Linked DNA regions of Mus musculus. The protein of the gene in region 1 interacts with the protein of each later gene in a biochemical or structural test. Links are inferred from orthologs where the notes say so. Each region holds a gene or a part of one and is shown in the gene's direction. Other genes may lie near its edges.

What was found.
Region 2: of the proteins of Ube2i (region 1) and Xrcc1, one has a biochemical effect on the other in vitro, tested with the Homo sapiens proteins (2 studies listed by BioGRID). The link is inferred for Mus musculus from reciprocal best matches to the Homo sapiens genes UBE2I and XRCC1.

The regions. Positions count from the first base shown.
Region 1 is NC_000083.6:25,265,980-25,270,934, reverse strand, and holds part of Ube2i (SUMO-conjugating enzyme UBC9), read left to right. Parts: intron 1-1,455; 5' UTR 1,456-1,466; coding exon 1,467-1,532; intron 1,533-1,659; coding exon 1,660-1,743; intron 1,744-2,321; coding exon 2,322-2,394; intron 2,395-4,955. UniProt on the Homo sapiens protein: Accepts the ubiquitin-like proteins SUMO1, SUMO2, SUMO3, SUMO4 and SUMO1P1/SUMO5 from the UBLE1A-UBLE1B E1 complex and catalyzes their covalent attachment to other proteins with the help of an E3 ligase such as RANBP2, CBX4 and ZNF451.
Region 2 is NC_000073.6:24,566,175-24,571,129, forward strand, and holds part of Xrcc1 (DNA repair protein XRCC1), read left to right. Parts: intron 1-44; coding exon 45-119; intron 120-214; coding exon 215-326; intron 327-683; coding exon 684-793; intron 794-864; coding exon 865-970; intron 971-1,139; coding exon 1,140-1,398; intron 1,399-1,635; coding exon 1,636-1,752; intron 1,753-4,041; coding exon 4,042-4,135; intron 4,136-4,274; coding exon 4,275-4,404; intron 4,405-4,654; coding exon of another isoform or gene 4,655-4,697; coding exon 4,698-4,752; intron 4,753-4,840; coding exon 4,841-4,955. UniProt on the Homo sapiens protein: Scaffold protein involved in DNA single-strand break repair by mediating the assembly of DNA break repair protein complexes. Negatively regulates ADP-ribosyltransferase activity of PARP1 during base-excision repair in order to prevent excessive PARP1 activity.

The DNA.
Region 1 (4,955 bases):
GTCTAGGAGCCAGATGTAGTGGCTCATGCCTGTAATCCCAATACCAGGAGCTAGCCAGGAGTTTTGGGCTAACCTGGGCTACAGTGTGAGACTCTGAACTTAAAACAAGTCATCTGTAACTTCAGTGCAGGACTCACCAGAATGCTTTGACCCAGTGGGTCTGTCTGTTCAGGTTCAGAACAACTGTGCTTACAGATGGAGGTGCATATCTGATCAGCCCACCTGTAGCCCAGGGATCCTAGCTGGGTCAGGAACACGCAGTAAATCCTAGGGTAGTCACAGCTTTGCAGATAAAATGGGCAGCCTGAGCTAAGTCTAAATAGCAAGAACTCATGGGAGGTCTGCTTGAAGCCTGGCAGAAGCTGTAGCAGGGATGTGCTCTGGCAAGAATCTTACTCTTGTCTAGAGGTGGTTGGAGGTTCCGCCTCAGAGTGAAGACTGAGCTGAAAACGAGAGACTAGGCTAGTGCTAGTCCAGCTGGGAGATTTTACCCACAAGCCTAATGGAAGCCTGAAGCTGGGGTCAAATATGGAACCTCTGAGAAGCAACTCAGTGTGAAATACCCATTGCTCTGCTAGATTCTTGTTCACAGGGGTCATGTTCTTGTGATCACACACCCCTAAATCCCTGTGCTCTGTGGGTTTGGGAGTCTCTTGAGTATTGTTTCATGTGATTTTATTTTTAAAGTAATATTAAAAAGGATGTGCAGATTAAAAAAAAAAAAAACTCAAGCAGGTGGTAGCCAGGTTGGCATCACAGTCAAAGCAGCAGGCTGTGGGCCTAGGTAGAGAGGTGTTCACCTAAGGGCCTTGTCAAGTGTGCCACCATGGTCTCTGGCAGAGGCTGCTGGCCTGACCTGGATCTTGCCCTCCTTCCCCTAGGGTCATAGGGCAGATCTCTGAACTATGAGCTGGTAAGCTATAGGCTGATAGCCTGGCCTCTTGGGGCAGTCTGCCTATGGAAGTTGACCACGCTCTGCCCTGTGGTATAGATTTTTCTCACTAGTACATCTAGTGATTGTCCTCCTTTCAGGCCTGATTCTAAGCTGGCCATACATCTTAGCCTCAGATAAGTGTGTGCAGTACCTGGGAGGTCCTGCCTGTCCTGAGGATTTGACTGTGGAGTGGGTGCCAAGTCTCTCCAGAGATGCTCAGTGCCTGCCAGGGAGGTGACAGCCTTTGTGCAGGCTCTTCTCACTGACCCTTCCAGCAGTTGAGTTTGTAAAGCACAAGAGAGACAGCGGTGGTGCTCTCCCTACACCCGGAGGCGTTCTGAGGGGCCGGTTGAGGGGTGTAATGCTACACTTGCTCCAAGGGCAGCTTGCCCAGCTGGACTCCAGCCTCATTTACCTGCTTCTTGGTAACAGCCCTCTGTGGCTGGGGTAGGAGGTAGGGGTGGCTTAGAGGAGGTCTGTGTGTGCTTTCCCTAACCCTCCCTGTGTGGATTCTGTTCCAGGGACTTTGAATATGTCGGGGATCGCCCTCAGCCGCCTTGCGCAGGAAAGGAAAGCCTGGAGGAAGGACCACCCTTTTGTAAGGAGCACTCTGTGTCTGCCGTAGGAGGGGCTTTCTGATGGGGTGGTGGTCTCAGCCTGTGGCCACTGGGGGACAGCTAGGCTTGTCGTCTGAGCTGCTTTGTTTTGTGACTGTTCTTTCTCAGGGCTTTGTAGCTGTCCCAACAAAGAACCCTGATGGCACAATGAACCTGATGAACTGGGAGTGCGCTATCCCTGGAAAGAAGGGGGTAAGGGTGACTGCTGGCTTTGCACCTACTAACTTAACAGATCTGAAGGAGCAGAACTACTAGAAGGGACCTAAGTTTGCATATTTGTGACCACAGCTAGCCTGCCAGGTCACAGCTCTCCCCTGGATAAGGAGTGGCCTGTGGTGGTAAGGAGGCTTGGACCTTGGCAAATCACTGGATCAGTGAACAGCCCGGGGTCAGGGGTAAAGAGCAGGTGAAGGTTGCTGGCTACAAAGCAGTAAGCCCCAATGGTGAGGTGCCCATGGAGAACCCAGGCCGTGTTTCTTTACACTCATGGGCCTGAGTGCAGCCGGTTGTCTGCCCTTGTCCAGCACATGTAAGAGGGATGGTCTCCTATAACTTCAGGCATTCACCAAACCCAGACCTCTAGGTCAGCTTAGTGTCTGAGCAAAAACATAGTTTGGGTTCATCTATACAAGGCTCAGTTGCAGAGTATGCAGTAATGGTGGTGTAGGGCAGTTAGAGAAGAAGCCCAAAGGACCCAGGTTTCAGGAAACTTCTCCTGGGCTTACCTTGGCAAGTGAGCCACTGGTCTAACCTTGGTTCCCTCCCCACAGACTCCATGGGAAGGAGGCTTGTTCAAGCTACGGATGCTTTTCAAAGATGACTATCCGTCCTCACCACCAAAATGTAAGTTGTGCAAAGAGCCTGCAGTCCACTTCCCAGCACTACCACCACCCTTTGGGAGCCATGTCTGTGAGTGCTTGGCCTAGTAGGCAGGTGCCAGTGCTGGGATAGTCGGTCCTGGTGAGTTGTCTTGGATGACAAGTCCCAGGGTAGATGCGCATGTAATTAGTGTGGTCTCTAATCCCAGCCTATTAGGATGTACCACACATGGCAGAGGGAGAGTTGTGTCAGGCTGAAGCTTCTGGGTGCTTTTGTGCCCACAGGAGAACTCGAGTCTGTAAGTTCCCATAGATTACGTGAGTGGTTAGCATATATCAGCTGAGTTCCATTCAGAGCACTAAAGGAGAGAGGAGACTCTTACTCATCCCCATCTGCTGTGTTCTGTGGGATGCTCATGGCCTTCAGACCATGGGGTCAGAAGAGAAGGCTGGACTGATCTCTGTTCAGCTCAGCAGAACTTGCTTGGGGGTACAGTGCCCACCACCACCATTCTGCCCAGGATAAGTAAGGCCAGGTCTGAGCTGGTTTATAAATAGATGTTACCTGATGCAGAGTTCCCCAGGAGTACTAAAACATAGTTTATTGGGAACCACTAGATGGAGTCTTGCCTGTTCTGTTTGGGATTTCCTTGTCTGCCTGAGTTCTTTTGTTAGTTTTTTCTTTTAAGGGGTATGTAGCTAGGATTGAGGTAGACAGAGTTGTTGGTCTCTTTCCTTTCGTGTGGTGCTGGAATCCTGAGCAAATACAATGAGACAAGTCTCTCAAAACTGGCTAGGAAAACCAAGAAGCATGCTTAGGAGGAAAAAGGTGAACGTGAAGAAATGGAGCATAGCCTGCAGACGTTTGGAACTGAGCTGTTGTAGTGGTACCAAATGCCATGGGAGAGAGGTCTTGTACTCGGTGTTGGCCTTGGGGATTGGCTATAATTGTGACCCTGGAGTTAAGTCAGTCTTAGAAGACACCAGCTAGGGATGCAACGGAGCAGAGTACACGTTTGTCAGGCTCTTCTGGGTTATCGAGAAGGAGACCTGAGGCAGCCAAGGGCTGGGCAGCAGAAGCTCTTGGCCCTTGCTGGGTTATGTGAAGGCTGTTTCTCTGGAAGATCTCTGCTGTCACCAGTAAAGCTGACCTGCCACTGTTCTGTAGAACTACCAGTAGAAATGCTCACACATGTTCACAAAGACAGGAACACCACGGAAGCCAGGTTGGTAAGAATCAGAAGTCAAAGAGTTGGTGCAGGTGTGTATTAGTAGCAGCCTGGGAAATAATTGAGATTAAAGGGAAGCAAGATGGAGCATCTAAACCCCCAGACAGCAAAATGGTGGGTTCCTTAATGTCTGATCCATGCAGCTCAAAGCAGCTTCTATTGCTGAGTGAGGCTAAAAACAGGGAGGGGCTCATGGGCCAGCTGAGATTCATGCAAGGTATGGCTGGTAGAAGTAAACATGGTTGGCAAGGAAGAGTAAACTTGTGTTTGCAAAGTACAAGTTAAAGGACACAAAGAAGAGCCCAGAATTGGAAAGATGCCTGCTGGAGCAGACTTGTGTTGAGAATCACTGATGAGTAAGGGACCCAGAGATAAGGTGAGCTTTAAAGCAGAAGTGTTGGCTCTGGGTTAGAATACTAGCTGCTCCTCTAGTGGACCAAGGTTGGATTCTAACATCCCATGACAGTTCCACTACAACTCCCGTCCTAGGGGATTTGACACCCTTTTCTGGCTTCCATGAGCGCTACACATACATGATCCACAAACATATATATCTACACATATTAAACATATATATCTACACATATTAAAAACAGGGAAAAAATTGGGGTTGGGGTGAAACAGGTTTTCCTGTGTAGCCTTGGCTGTCCTGGAAGTTCCTCCACATACCAGACTGGCCTCAAACTCAGAGATCTGCCTGCCTCTGCTTACCAGGTGCTGGGATCAGAGGTGTGTGCAATCACTCTTCAGTGGGTTTTAAAAAAAAAAAATTAAGGTGGCTGCCAGAAGTGCCTCTGTGGAGGCCTGGCCCAATTGTGAGACAGATGGGCTGGAGGAACTGATGAAATTAGTTTGGGGTCTTGACACCCAAACCCTCTCCATTTGCTTATCATTGTGCCCATGGCATAAGTCACTCTCAGGTCCTTCCTCACAGCTCTGCTTGGAGAGGCATGCAGTAACTCAGAGCCATTCTGTCTGCACAGAGCAGTTAGGGAGGTTTCTAGGATTCAGCCTTAATGCTGGTGTTGATGCTTTGTCTCATTCTTATTAACTTATTAGCATTTTGTGATGCTTGGGATTGAACCCAGGGCCTCACAGATGCTAGCTAGACAAGCGTTCCATCACTACACTCCCACCTTTCTTTTATTTAAAGCTCGAGGACAGTAAGGGTTTAACAAAATTGGGGGTGGGGGTGGCATCTTTCATCCCACCAGAGTTCAAGGCAGGTCAGCCAGGGCTGTATAGAGAAACCCACTTTTAAAAAACAAAAGAAAGAAAAGAAGGAACAAACATTCATTCCCTCCCCAGAGCAGCAGTAGTTGTAAGTCTCCATACGAGCCCCGATCCTCTGGAAGAA
Region 2 (4,955 bases), on another chromosome or scaffold:
CTTTGTCCTATTCAGACACCCTCACACCCAGCCCTCTGTTCCAGGACTCGCCATACGGCCTGAGTTTTGTGAAGTTTCACAGCCCTCCTGACAAAGATGAGGCAGAGGCTACATCTCAGGTAAGTTGTACCTGGTACCCCCCAGAGCCTCTCCCTGCCTCTCCACCCCTGCCTGCCAGCATTCTTCTCACAGCACTGACCTTGTGGGACCTTAGAAGGTGACAGTGACCAAGCTCGGCCAGTTTCGTGTGAAAGAGGAGGATGACAGTGCCAACTCCCTGAAGCCAGGGGCTCTCTTCTTCAGTCGTATCAACAAGACGTCATCAGGTGCCTGTGGGACTCGGGGTGCTAGGGATGGCGTTGGTGGAGTGCTTACTTAGCATAGAGCCCAATCCTGAAATCTCCGCTCAGGGGAGACAAGGCAGGAGGGCCAGCTGTGTAAGGTCTCCTCTGCTAAGTAGGAAGTCTTGAGTTCAGCCTAGGATGTATGATGCCTGAGAGCTGAGGGCATGGCCAGGTCTCTAGGTCTGGGGAGGAGGGCTGGGGCCTGGACTACTGAGTCAGGGGTACAATCTAAACTTCTGGGTCACCTCTGGATGTGAGAGTGACTTGATACCTGATAGATGGGAGCTAAGGTGACTGTGGCCCTGCCCTCTCACCCTCAGTCCACTTGTCCTTCCATAGCCTCTACGAGTGACCCAGCAGGACCCAGCTATGCAGCAGCTACACTGCAGGCCTCTAGTGCAGCCTCCTCAGCCTCTCCAGTCCCCAAGGTTGTGGGCAGCTCTTCCAAGGTGAGGTCATCAGACGCTGGGGCAGTGGAGAATGAGGAGAGCCGGAAGCCAACCCATCTCTACCTCCTCAGCCTCAGGAGCCTCCCAAAGGGAAGAGAAAACTGGACTTGAGTCTAGAAGACAGGAAACCTCCCAGCAAACCCTCGGCAGGGCCATCCACCCTCAAGAGACCCAAATGTAAGCAAACTGGATTCCTTGATTCTGTAGTGACCCTGGCTTGTGTGTCATGAGGGAAGGGCTGTGGTCTTGAACCTGCCATCCTAAGAAGGGAGGCGGAAAGCCTGACTTCCTGTAAGAGCTGGGGCTCGATGGGGCACCAACCTAATTTCTGTTCTTTTCTCCCCAGTGTCTGTCCCTAGTCGTACTCCAGCTGCAGCTCCAGCCTCTACCCCAGCACAGAGAGCCGTCCCAGGGAAGCCCCGGGGAGAAGGCACAGAGCCTAGGGGGGCTCGCACTGGACCCCAAGAGCTTGGCAAGATCCTGCAAGGGGTGGTGGTGGTGCTCAGTGGCTTCCAGAACCCCTTCCGCTCAGAGCTCCGGGACAAGGCCCTGGAACTGGGGGCCAAGTATCGGCCAGACTGGACCCCAGACAGCACACATCTCATGTAGGCCTCTGACCTGCCACACGGTTCCCTGCCCTGCCCTGCCCTACCCTGCATGCCCCCGCTAGCTTCATCTGTCCCTGTTCTGCTATCCTCCCTCCCTGCTTCTTTGTGCCCTCCAGCCCCCACTTCTTTACCCCCTTAGTTCTCAGCTTTCTGCGTCCCTCCCTAAGCTCCATCTCTGTTCTGTCTCAGCTGTCCATCAGATCATGTCTGACATTCCTGTTTTGCATCTCCCAGCTGTGCCTTTGCCAACACTCCCAAATACAGCCAGGTCCTGGGCCTTGGAGGCCGGATTGTGCGTAAAGAGTGGGTGCTGGACTGTCACCACATGCGGCGCCGGCTGCCCTCCCGGAGGTGAGGCCCCACGACCTGCCTCTTAGGCAGCGCACACACCTGCCTCTTAGCCCAGAGCAGGCAATGAAGAGCCTGGGGCCTGCTGGGTAGCTCAGGCGATCTCAAACCAACATAAGCCGTTTTCAAAGACGGGCTGGGCCTGCAGATGGGAAGTCACTAGCCTGGGTGGGCCACTGGATTTTGTAATGACGGCTGCTTTGTGCACATTGTGGGTTGTGGCTGTGCAGAGGTGGAAGGGAGCCTCAGGGCTGTATGCCATTCCTCAGAACTGATCCTTTGGCATCCTTTGGGTGCCAGGCAGAGCTGTGACTGAAGTGAGGACGCTGGGGTTGAGCCCTGTGCTCACTTCAGCGAGTGGGTCAGAAGTGTTAGAGCCCAGCTTTGAGGAGCTCAGGAGGGGCACAGTGATCGCGGGATGAGAAGCATGGGTAGCAGCCAGGCAGAGGGCATGCAGGGCTGCAGAGCAAGCAGGGATGGGCAGCATGAGCATCCATCTCCTGACGCAGTGGGCGGGAGAAGAACCACTGGCTGCCAACAGCAGGAGCTGTGGAGCTGGAGAGAAGCCGACTCCGATCCCAGTGAGGTCGTGGCTTGAGTCTGTTTAATAAGCAGGGCTAACCCTGGCACATTCATGTCGGGGACTGTGAGGGGAGGTGGGTGGGTTGGTCAGTTGATCTGGAAGTGGTGGGGACTCCACATCCTGCTTGGATTCCACAGATCCCTGGGAGCTAGTTATCTAGCTTCAGTATTGTGATCATCCTGAACAGATGTGCGGAGGGTGTCTGTGGGCGCCTTTATTCTCTGAGGTGTGTAAGGATAGTTAGCTAGTGTGCCACAGTAGGGACTTGAATCTAGGACACACACACACACAGTACCAAGAATCAAAAATCTTAGGATGGTTGAAAATGAAGAGATGGCTCAGTGGTTAAGAGCATTGGTTGTTCTTTTAGAAGACCTTGACTCAGTTTCCAGCACTCACATAGCAACTCTCAACCATCTGTAACTGCAGTCTCAGAGTGATTGATGACTTCTGGCTGTTATAGGCACCAAGCACACACATATGATGCATAGACATATGTGCAGGCAAAGCATTCATACGTGTAAAATAAAAAAGTTAGTCTTTAAATATATACAAGTTGCTTATATAAAATGCTAGAGTATTTACATAAAAACTGCATAGAATCTTTTCATACATTTAAAAAAGATTATTATTTAAATTATGTGTATGTGTATCTGTGCGGTGGTGCACATGTGTGTTCAGGTACGTGAGGAGACCAGTTGTGTCAAATCCCCTATAGCTAGAGTTACAGGCAGTTGTGAGCACCTGATGTGGGTCCTGGGGAACCAGATTTGGATCCTTTGAACAGTATAAGCTCTAAACATTGAGCCGTCTCTCCAGCCTCACGTACTGTGAGTGTGGATGTCTAAGAACTGAACCCAAGGCTTCCCACATGCTAAGCCACACCCCCAGCCCCTCACTGGGGGTTCTAGTCAGGGCTCTACCACCGTGCTGTATATCCCTAGCCTTTTTGGTTTTGATTTGGAGTGTAGGAGGGTCTTACTAAGTTGTTCAGTCTGGACTTCAATTCACTCTGTTCCCAGGCCATCCTGCCTCTCAGCCTCTTGAGTAGTTGAGATTAGAGACCTGCTCACTAGGCCAGTGTGCTCTTACATGTTTTTGGGTTTTTTGTTTTTTGTTTTTGTTTGTTTTGTTTTTCGAGACAGGGTTTCTCTGTATAGCCCTGGTTGTCCTGGAACTCACTCTGTAGACTAGGCTGGCCTCGAACTCAGAAATCCGCCTGCCTCTGCCTCCCGAGTGCTGGGATTAAAGGTGTGCACCACCGCCCGGCGCTCTTCCATGTTTTGAATCATTCTGTGGTTTGAATCCAGCACTATGTAAATGCCATGTAAATCTTTAGGGAATGACGAGCAAACGGAGTCTGAATGTTGAGTGCAGACACAGACTTTCTGGTCTGTGATTGGTTGGGTGTACAGATGCAGAGACCCCAGATGTGGGGTTCCACCTGAATTTGCATTTGAGACTTTCCCCCATTGCTTGGCATTCTCCTTTGATCCTCAAAGAGTAGACCCCCCCCCCCCATTGCTCTTTCTTGCCTTAAATGGAACAGATCTTCCCCATGAGGGAAAGAGCCTGGGGTGGCTGAACTGCCTGGCACGTAGTGGAGCCCCTCTAGGGCTGGGAGGGGTCAGAGGGCAGCAGGATTCCTTCTCTATCCCCACCTCCCTCTACTTCTCAGTCCTCTGCCTGAGGCCCAGTTCCTCCCCTAGGTACCTCATGGCAGGCCTTGGATCCAGCAGTGAGGACGAAGGGGACTCTCACAGTGAGAGCGGCGAAGACGAAGCTCCCAAGCTTCCCCAAAAGGTCTGATGCCCCTATGGGGCCAGGAGGGAATACTGGGTGCCAACCAGGTCTGCTGAATACCTCAGCTTCCTGCTTCTCCCCGCTGCTGGCTGTCCAGAGCCTCACACTGCCCCAACCTCACCTAGCCCTTCTTCCTCAGCGGCCCCAGCCCAAAGCCAAGACCCAGGCAGCAGGACCCAGCTCACCCCCGAGGCCACCAACCCCAAAAGAGACCAAAGCACCGTCACCAGGACCCCAGGACAATAGTGACACTGAGGGGGAAGAGTCAGGTTAGAATCTGAGGGAGAGGTCTACACGCTTTATGTCTGAGGGAGGAGGAGGGCTAGGGCCTTGAGCCCTGGGTTTGGGGGCAGGGCTGGTGTCTAGCTTTCTGGGTCTGAGGGGGAGGGCTGTATGGAGGTGAAGGAGTAGAGGAGGGGCCACTGTGTACCCTGAAAACTAGATTGAGAGGGCAACTGAAGTCAAGTTCATAGGCCCTGGCTGTACTCTCGGGTGCCATTCTGGGAGGGGTGTTACTAGATGTCCCAGGAACCAAGCCTGTTGACTGGGTTGCTACTGGCAGAAGGACGGGACAACGGGGCAGAAGATTCTGGGGACACCGAGGATGAACTGAGGAGGTAGGATTGAAGGGGGTACGTCTGCCTGGCCTTGGGTGTGGGTGTCTGCTCCCTAAGTGTTTACCCTCCACTACTCTTGATCGCCCAGGGTGGCCAAACAGAGGGAACAAAGGCAGCCCCCAGCCCCAGAGGAGAATGGCGAGGACCCGTATGCAGGCTCCACAGATGAGAACACAGACAGTGAGACCCCCTCAGAGGCTGAC